Kluyveromyces lactis: one gene and its partner. The protein of the gene in region 1 interacts with the protein of each later gene in a biochemical or structural test. Links are inferred from orthologs where the notes say so. Each region holds a gene or a part of one and is shown on either strand. Other genes may lie near its edges. The genes, in order: PAB1 and SUP35.

Region 1 (4,090 bases):
CATGTTGATGACTGTCAGAGAAAGGTATATAAAGACTGATAAAAAAACCTTTTGAAAATGCGAAAAACCTCTTCATTAAAAAGACTACTAATGTCCTCCCATTAGAGCTTTAGTATTATATAAAACGGGTAGAGTAACAATAATAGTTAGATAGAAAAAATCAGTAAGAAAAAATTTGAAGAGAAAAATGGGGCATACCTCCGGATTGAATTAGCGGTATGGAGAAAGGGTAGAGTGATGTGATGGATTGTGGTAATATGGTATATGTGGAGCGTGGTAATTTTTTTTATTGGTAAAGATTAAAAGCACAACATTTTTGGCAACAATGGAAAGCCTGTGATGAACAAAAAAAAAAAAAGCGAGAGAAAAAGAAGAGTGGCAGAAAGTAGTTTATTTCGACTAGTTTAGGTCTATAACAATGCGTAAGCTAATTAGCACCACCCAGTTCCAATGCGTGAAGCTGAGACTATTCATATAGTTAGCTGTTCGTTTTTTTTTTTAATTTTTCTTTTTCTTCGGGGGAAAGATATAGAAAGGACAAGATGAAGATCAAGGTCAAAAAATCAAGTTTAAGCTTGAGCTTCTTGTTCCTTCTTGAAGTTTTCGTAAGCAGCTAAGGCTTCTTGGAATTGCTGTTCAAATTGTTCGTCGTTGTCCAACAATTGGATGACTTGCTGTGGTGGTAGATCCAAGATCATACCGGTGATCTTACCAGCGGCGTTTTCGTCGTCAATCTTGGCACTGACCTTCTTGTACAATTGTTCACCCAAGGCTTGTCTTTGCTTTTGTTGTTGGATGTAGTGTTGTTGTTGGTGTCTTGGGAATTGGTTTTGAGGTGGCATACCTTGGTACATTGGACCGTTTGGTCTACCAGCAAATTGTTGTGGTGGTGGGACCATACCGTTCTTTGGAATACCGGCACCCATTGGGCCGTTCATACCTGGGTTTGGACCTGGGAAACCTCTTGGGGCCATAACACCATAGAACATTTGTGGCATGTATTGGCCTGGCATACCAGCAGCAGCGGCAGCAGCTTGTTGTTGTTGCTGTTGTTGGAATCTGATTTGGTTTCTGGCTTGAATTTGTTGAGCCAATTGGGATCTTCTGACATCCTTTCTTTGAGCAATGGCAACGTACAATGGCTTACCGGCAACAATTTGTTGGTTCTTTTCGGTCATAGCCTTGGTAGCTTCTTCTGGAGAAGAGAAACAAACGAAACCGAAACCCTTAGAGTTACCCTCTTGGTCTCTCATGACTCTAGCAGAGGTGATGGTACCGTATGGGGCGAATTCTTCCTTCAATTTTTCGTCATCGATGGAATCGTCCAAGTTCTTGATGAACAAGTTAACACCTTGGAACTTAGCCAATTTTTCCAAACGGTATTGTTCGTATTGTTTCTTCAATTCTTCAGCACGTTCGTACTTCTTTTGAGCTCTGCCAACGTACAAAGCTTGAGACTTGAATTCCTTACCGTTCAACTCTTCAACGGCCTTGGCAGCGGCGTTGTGGTCAACAAAGTTAACGAAACCGAAACCCTTTGGCTTACCCTCAGCATCCTTTTCCAAAGCAGCAGAGACAATTTCACCGTATTGGGAGAACAACTGTTCGAACTCTTCGTCAGTGGTTTCAACGTCAATGTTCTTGACGTAAATGTTGGTGAAGTTAGCCTTGGCTTCTTCCAACTTGGAGATACGGTCCTTCTTTGGAACGTGCATGGCAACGTAAACTTCCAAACCGTTCATCAACATACCGTTGACGGCTTCAATAGCATCCTTAGCATCGGATTCTTCCTTGAAATGAACGAAACCGAAGCCTCTAGAGTTTCCATTCTCATCTAAAGCAACTTTACAAGACAAGACTTCACCGAAAGTGGAGAAAGTTTCATGCAAAGCCTTGTTGTCAATGGCTGGGTGCAAGTTCTTGATGAAAATGTTACCAGAACCCTTCTTTCTGATAGCTGGGTCACGTTCGGACCACATAATTCTACATGGTCTACCGTTGATTTCAGCATAGTTCAATTCTTGAATAGCTTTCTTACCAGCTTCGTAATCAGTATAGTTAACGTAAGCGTAACCTAACGAAGCCTTGGTGACGGCATCACGACAAACACGGATCGAGGAAATTGGACCCAATGGTGAAAACACATCGTACAACAATGCTTCAGTAATGTTTGGATCCAATTCACCAACGTACAATGAAGCGTTGTTGTTTTCAACCTTAGAAACAGAAGAAGCTTCGCTTTCAGAAGCAGAAGTGGATGGAGCACTGGCAGATTGAGCTGGTTGCTGATCATCGTTGATCTGCAAGTTTTCCAATTGCTCAGCAGTTTTTTCAGTAATATCAGACATTATGAGATGAGATGAGATGAGATAAATTTAACCGAAAAAGATGGCGGTTGGTTGGTTTTGTAATGTGTTTTTAAAATATATGTTTTTTTATGGTTTTTTAATGTGTATTTTAGTGTATTGTTTTGTTTAATACCCACACAGTTGCGAACCTTTGATGAAACTATTAAGTTTTGATTTAACGATGGATGGAAATGAAAAACCCTTAGTTAACTTGAATTCAAAAAGACTTCTAACTGGAATGTTTTGACTAATATTAAAAAGATATAAACCACGCTTATTCTTTTCTTTTACCAAAAACAATTAAAATACAGGATACAGATGATACCTTTAGAGAGTTTGCTGACTTTGACCGTGGTCTTTTTAAACAAACAAATTGCACAAAATAAAATGTTACAATAACTGAACCAGAAAGGTAATACAAATAAGTAACAAACGAAACAGTATAAACTAACCAAGATAACTAAAAACTTATAACAAATTAAATAAATGAAACAACATCACAAGAACTTATTTAAAATCGTTATATAATTCATCCATCTCTGTGAGAACAGTCCTTAATTGTTGTGATGAGTTAGCCAAAAAGTGAAAATTTTCATTGAAAAATTTAAAGAGTTGAAAAAGAGTTTAAAGCTTTTCCACAAAAGGAAAGGTAGGTACGTGCGAAATGATCTGAGGCATCACCACAACAAACCAGGTATTTTACTAGCAGCCGGCTGTTTCTGGTGCGCCCTTGTGCCTCATGTCATTTATGAAGGTAATAATAACTAATAGCAATATGTTGTTGATTAGATATCTTTTTTTTTTTCGTAAATTGATAGGCGTATATATCTCTATGTTTTGTTACATTTGACTAATTAATGTTCAGAGGCTTTGATTTTGTCGTACATCGCCAGGAGTTTGGAAGATGGGACATCTCTTGGCCAGTAATATGCAGTGAAAGACCATAAATGTCTTTTATATTTTTCTGGAGAGGTCTTAGACGAGTCCTTCTTGTGCGATTCGATGTAGTCACCAACACGTTTCAATTCCTTCTTCAATAGGTTAGCCCATTGCTTACGTTCAAGACCGTCTCCTCCAGATCTTAGACGTTTGAGTGAGCTACGGACGTTTGTCATCGTTTTCTTACACTCTTCTTCGTCCATACTGTCGTATTCTTTGTCAGGAAGACGGATATCGGCTTTTGGTGCCAACGGTATGTCTTTACCTTTCCTCTGCTGTTTTTTCGATCCGACGACAGGCGTACCAGATCTTGATGATGGTTGTTGATGGTGATGGGCCTTGCCACGCTTTGTTTCGGAGCTATTGTCTGGTGTAGAGTCCTTGCCGGTTAAGTTAACACTATTGCCGTCACTTGGGGTACCAGCGGTATGGGCATTTTCGTTCCCATTGCTGTTCCCAGCAGTAGTAGCAGACTTCTTTGGTTTACGTTTGTTTTGCTGAGGCGTCGTGGTTCCGGTTGACGAAGAGCCGGCAGGGTGAGATGGATCAGTTTGGGGACCCTTAGCTTCGTCTCTTAGGACAGTGAATAAGTAATCGACTCTTCTACCGAGATGCACAGCACCGGGAGCTTTCTTCACTGTTTTCTTATTAGTGTTTTCAGAAGACGCCGTCACGATTGGTGTGTTTGCCGTAGTGTCAGGAGTTTCTGTCTTTACAGCATCAGCACCAGGTGTTGAAGACCCCGCAACAGATGCCCCTGGAGCAGATGGTGTGAGACTAGGTGCTGCAGGAGTGGCAGCTTT
Region 2 (4,187 bases), on another chromosome or scaffold:
AGTTAGGACATGTTCTGTGGGATGATGCAGCAAGTGAAGAGAAAAGAATAAGATTAGATGAAGTAAGTAAGACATCAACTTCTGGGACTTTAGGGTTTAGAATATGTGGTATGAATATCTTAAAAAACACAAATGTCCAAGAACTACACTCGAAGTATTATGAACCGGAAGATGATGGGTATATTTTTGTCAATAAATATTACGGTCGTGAGTTGACAGCTTCGAATGTAACGGACGCATTTGATTTGTACTTTGGCGATAATAATCTTTCACTCCAAAATCGTAATGATTTGATTCACATGTTTTCAAAAAGGCTTCAGCTTTTCTATAATACGCTATTGAATGAAGAGGTTCGCATGATATCAAGTAGCCTTCTATTCATATATGAATGCGATACTACTCGGTGGATCAACTTCTCTCAGGAACAAGAATTAATACCGTCCCATGTATCATATGATTCGGATGAGGAAGGGTCCATTAAAGATGGACAGTCAAAGGAGAGCATATCAGGAAAGACAGAATTGAGTCGCATGTCGATAATAGATTTTGCACATACCAAATTTACCCCAGGATTAGGAATAGATGACAATGTACTTGACGGGGTTGAAAGTCTTATAGACATTTTTGAAAGATTAAAAACTAAATATACAATCTAGACTAGACACCTAGTAAATATGCATTGTGATATGGATTCATAAAAACCGAGATCAATTTTCAAGGATTTTCACAATCTTACCGATAGCAATGGTGGTACCTTGATCTCTTAAAGTGAATCTACCCAATTGTGGGTAATCATCGTATGTTTCAACACATACCGGTTCATTAGTCTCGATAACGGCAATGATCTTCATACCCTTTTTAGCAAATGCTGGAGGCTTCTTTGATTTTCTGTTTGACCCCTTCTCAAGCTTGTGAAGCAATCTTGTGACGGTGACTTCTTCGATAGCTGTATGAATATGCATAACGCACGAGAAACCAGCAGACATGATCGATTTCAATTCGACAATAGCAATTTGAGCCACAAATCTCGTTACATTCTTAACTGGGTTTTTTGGAGAGGTTAGAACGAAACCAGCAGAAATTTCTTCTTCTTCGACACCTTTAATTCTTAATCTAACCTGCTCACCACAAACAGCCATGTCAACTTCGCTTTCAGTTTCGTTATAAATGGTCAGAATTTCAACAGAGGTCCTGTTAGGCATTAGTAAAGTTTGGTTACCCTTTCTAATGTGTCCAGATTCGATTTTACCTTCCACAACAGTACCCATGTCCTTCATCTTAGAAGCAATTGGAAGCATGAATGGAGCATTGATATGACGATCAGTAGTCTTCATATTGTCAAGATATTCTAATAAAGATGGACCAGTATACCATGGACAGTCCTTAGGATCGACACGTTCCTTCAAACCTGCACCTGTGTAACCAGACACTGGCATGAAAATGACGTCCTCCTTAACATTGTAACCCACAGCCTTCAAAAAGTTTGTCAAGTTACCAACACAGTGATCATATCTTTCCTTATCCCATCCCACAGTTGGATCATCCATCTTGTTGATAACTACAATCATTTTGTTGACACCTTGTGTCTTGGCTAATAAAGCGTGCTCACGAGTTTGACCACCCTTTTCGAAACCAGTTTCATATTCACCCTTTCTAGCAGAAATAACCAAAATACCAATATCGGCTTGAGATGCACCACCAATCATTTCAGAAACATACATTTTGTGACCGGGAGCATCCAAAATAGTGTAACGTCTCTTTTCAGTTTCAAAGTACGCTCTACCCACTTCAATGGTTTTACCGTCGTTTCTTTCTTCTTTGTTGGTATCCATCACCCATGATAAATACCAACCTTGTCTACCAGCCTCTTTAGCCTCTCTCTCATATTTCTCAACGGTTCTTTTATCCACAGAACCAGTCAGATATAACAAGTTACCACCCATTGTTGACTTACCAGCATCGACGTGACCCATGAAAATGATGGAAACATGATCCTTACCACCAAACATATCTTTAACGACTTCTTCGTCAACCTCATCTTCTTGTTCCTTGATTAGAGCATCCACGGAGTTCGCTCCTCCTGTAGATGTGTCTGCCTTAGCGCTGGTAGTCTTCTCTGAGGAAGTATCATCAGCAGATGGGGTATTCTCCTTAGTTTTTGGTTTTTCAGCCTCTGAGATTTTCAAATCATCAATTTTGGGCAATTCAGATTGTGCTTCTTCGTTGTCGTCGGTAGTTTTAGTTGCTTCCTTGGATTCATCAGTTTTCTCAGTTTTGGGTGCTACAGGTTTCTTGGCACCTACTAACTTAATACCAGAGCTAGAGGCCAACTTTAACTTAGGCTTTGGCTTGGCTGCATTAGTACTGCCTTGTTGGTTTTGGAAATCTTTCAAAGTCATACCCTGGGATGAAGACTGTGCTGGAGCAGCGTAACCGGTTGGCTGTTGTGCATTATATCCTTGAGCACCTTGATAACCCTGCTTATTATAGTTATTGTAACTGTTTTTATTATTATAATTTTTATTGTAGTTATTGTTGTGACCGCCTTGCTGAGCGTTGTAACCTTGTTGCTGAGCATTGTAGCCCTGGTAAGGTTGGTAGCCTTGAGCTTGTTGAGGGTTGTAGCCCTGGTAGGCTCCTTGAGGCTGCTGTCCATAAGCTTGATATGCTTGGTAGCCTTGAGGAGCACCTTGTTGGCCGTTGTAGCCTTGATAGCCCTGTTGGTTGTAGTACTGGTTGTACTGGCCATATTGGTTATACTGATTGTAACCTTGGCCTTGCCCTTGGTCTTGATTTTGTTGGTCTGACATGTCTACTAGTAGATGCTATAGACCGGTACCTTGTTCCAATTTAAGCTTGCAAATAGAGGGCAATTCGCTGATGGGAGGATCATGATGATCATCAGTAACGCTTTCTTACACTTTTCGATCTTCTCTATCAAGCTGTTTAAAATTTTTTGCAATTAGCGATGATGTAATTTTATACGACTGCATATATTCCTAAATAGACTAACACCATTGTAGCGCCCAATACGTAATATGGCATCAATAACCTGGTGCAACCGTTCCGTTCTTCCTCTATGTAACTGTATAAAATGAGGGTGCTGGTATTCGTGTAATATTAATATTATACATAAGCGATTACTAAACATGAGATCTTATTTTAATTCATAACAATTGTTCATATAAATGTTTGGCTGAACCAGTTTTCCAATGTGAAGCCAGGGATGATTTCATAAATTGCGAGGAGCAGTCTCAAACACAAGTTCTTCATCTGGTACATCTTCTATTATAATTCTTTTCTTTGGTTGTGGTTTATTAGCATCTTGTGGAATTTTTGGGACTTTGATTTGAAGCAATCCGTTAAAGTACGATGCTTTAATCTCTTCATCTTTAATTCTCGGTAAAACGGGGAACTTGACAGATCTTTCAAAATCACCGTATTTCAATTCTGAGATCTTCACGTACTTTTTATCAATCCCGATCTTGTTGTCGACAGCACCTTTGATCAGTAACTCGTGCGATGAAGGATGGAAATCAATTTTAAACTCCTTCGAGTTCGCACCAGGTAATGCCAATACAACAACGTACTGTTCGGGAGTATCATAAACGTTAACTTCTGGAGAAAATGGTAGATCAAGTCTCAATTCTGGGTTTGAAACTTGCAAAGGTGCAGGAACCGGAGATCTGAAACCGCTGGGCTCGTAAGCTAGTTTATCCTTTTGGTTTACGTCCTTTTCGCTGTCAACGGAGGAAGTAGTCTTATTCAACTTTTGTTGTTCCTCATTATTGTGCATGTTATAATCTTCGTTGTACTCGTCAGAAGCGTCTTCTCCTTGCTCTGCTGTTTCCTCGTCTATTTGCTGATCATTACGTTCTTTTTCTTCCTCGGAATATTGATTTGCAAGAGCTTCTTCGGCTGCCGCAAGAGCAGCGGCTTGCTCCTGTTCATCGTTTTCTTGTTCATCATCAGTTGCTTGTCTCTGACTTTCTTCATCAGCATCCCCTCTGAAAATGTCGGAATTACCACCGGCCAAAGCACTCAAAAGAGCCCCAACTACATCATCACCAGATGTTGGTCCAACAGCCCTTCTAGAAGCTGTTGTTGGAGCACCGGTCCTGCGAACAGTACGGTGTGGATGGTAATGCGTGGGTCTTCTCTGAGGTTGAGCATCTTCATTTGTGTAA

What was found.
Region 2: the proteins of PAB1 (region 1) and SUP35 form a complex in vitro, tested with the Saccharomyces cerevisiae proteins (3 studies listed by BioGRID). The link is inferred for Kluyveromyces lactis from reciprocal best matches to the Saccharomyces cerevisiae genes PAB1 and SUP35.

The regions. Positions count from the first base shown.
Region 1 is NC_006039.1:1,551,580-1,555,669, reverse strand, and holds PAB1 (polyadenylate-binding protein), read right to left. Parts: upstream 2,349-4,090; coding exon 570-2,348; downstream 1-569. Other genes in the region: chromatin-remodeling ATPase CHD1, read right to left, coding at 3,203-4,090. UniProt on the Saccharomyces cerevisiae protein: Binds the poly(A) tail of mRNA. Appears to be an important mediator of the multiple roles of the poly(A) tail in mRNA biogenesis, stability and translation.
Region 2 is NC_006040.1:1,486,248-1,490,434, forward strand, and holds SUP35 (translation termination factor GTPase eRF3), read right to left. Parts: upstream 2,811-4,187; coding exon 708-2,810; downstream 1-707. Other genes in the region: ARG82 (inositol polyphosphate multikinase), read left to right, coding at 1-656; heat shock protein HSP42, read right to left, coding at 3,233-4,187. UniProt on the Saccharomyces cerevisiae protein: GTPase component of the eRF1-eRF3-GTP ternary complex, a ternary complex that mediates translation termination in response to the termination codons UAA, UAG and UGA.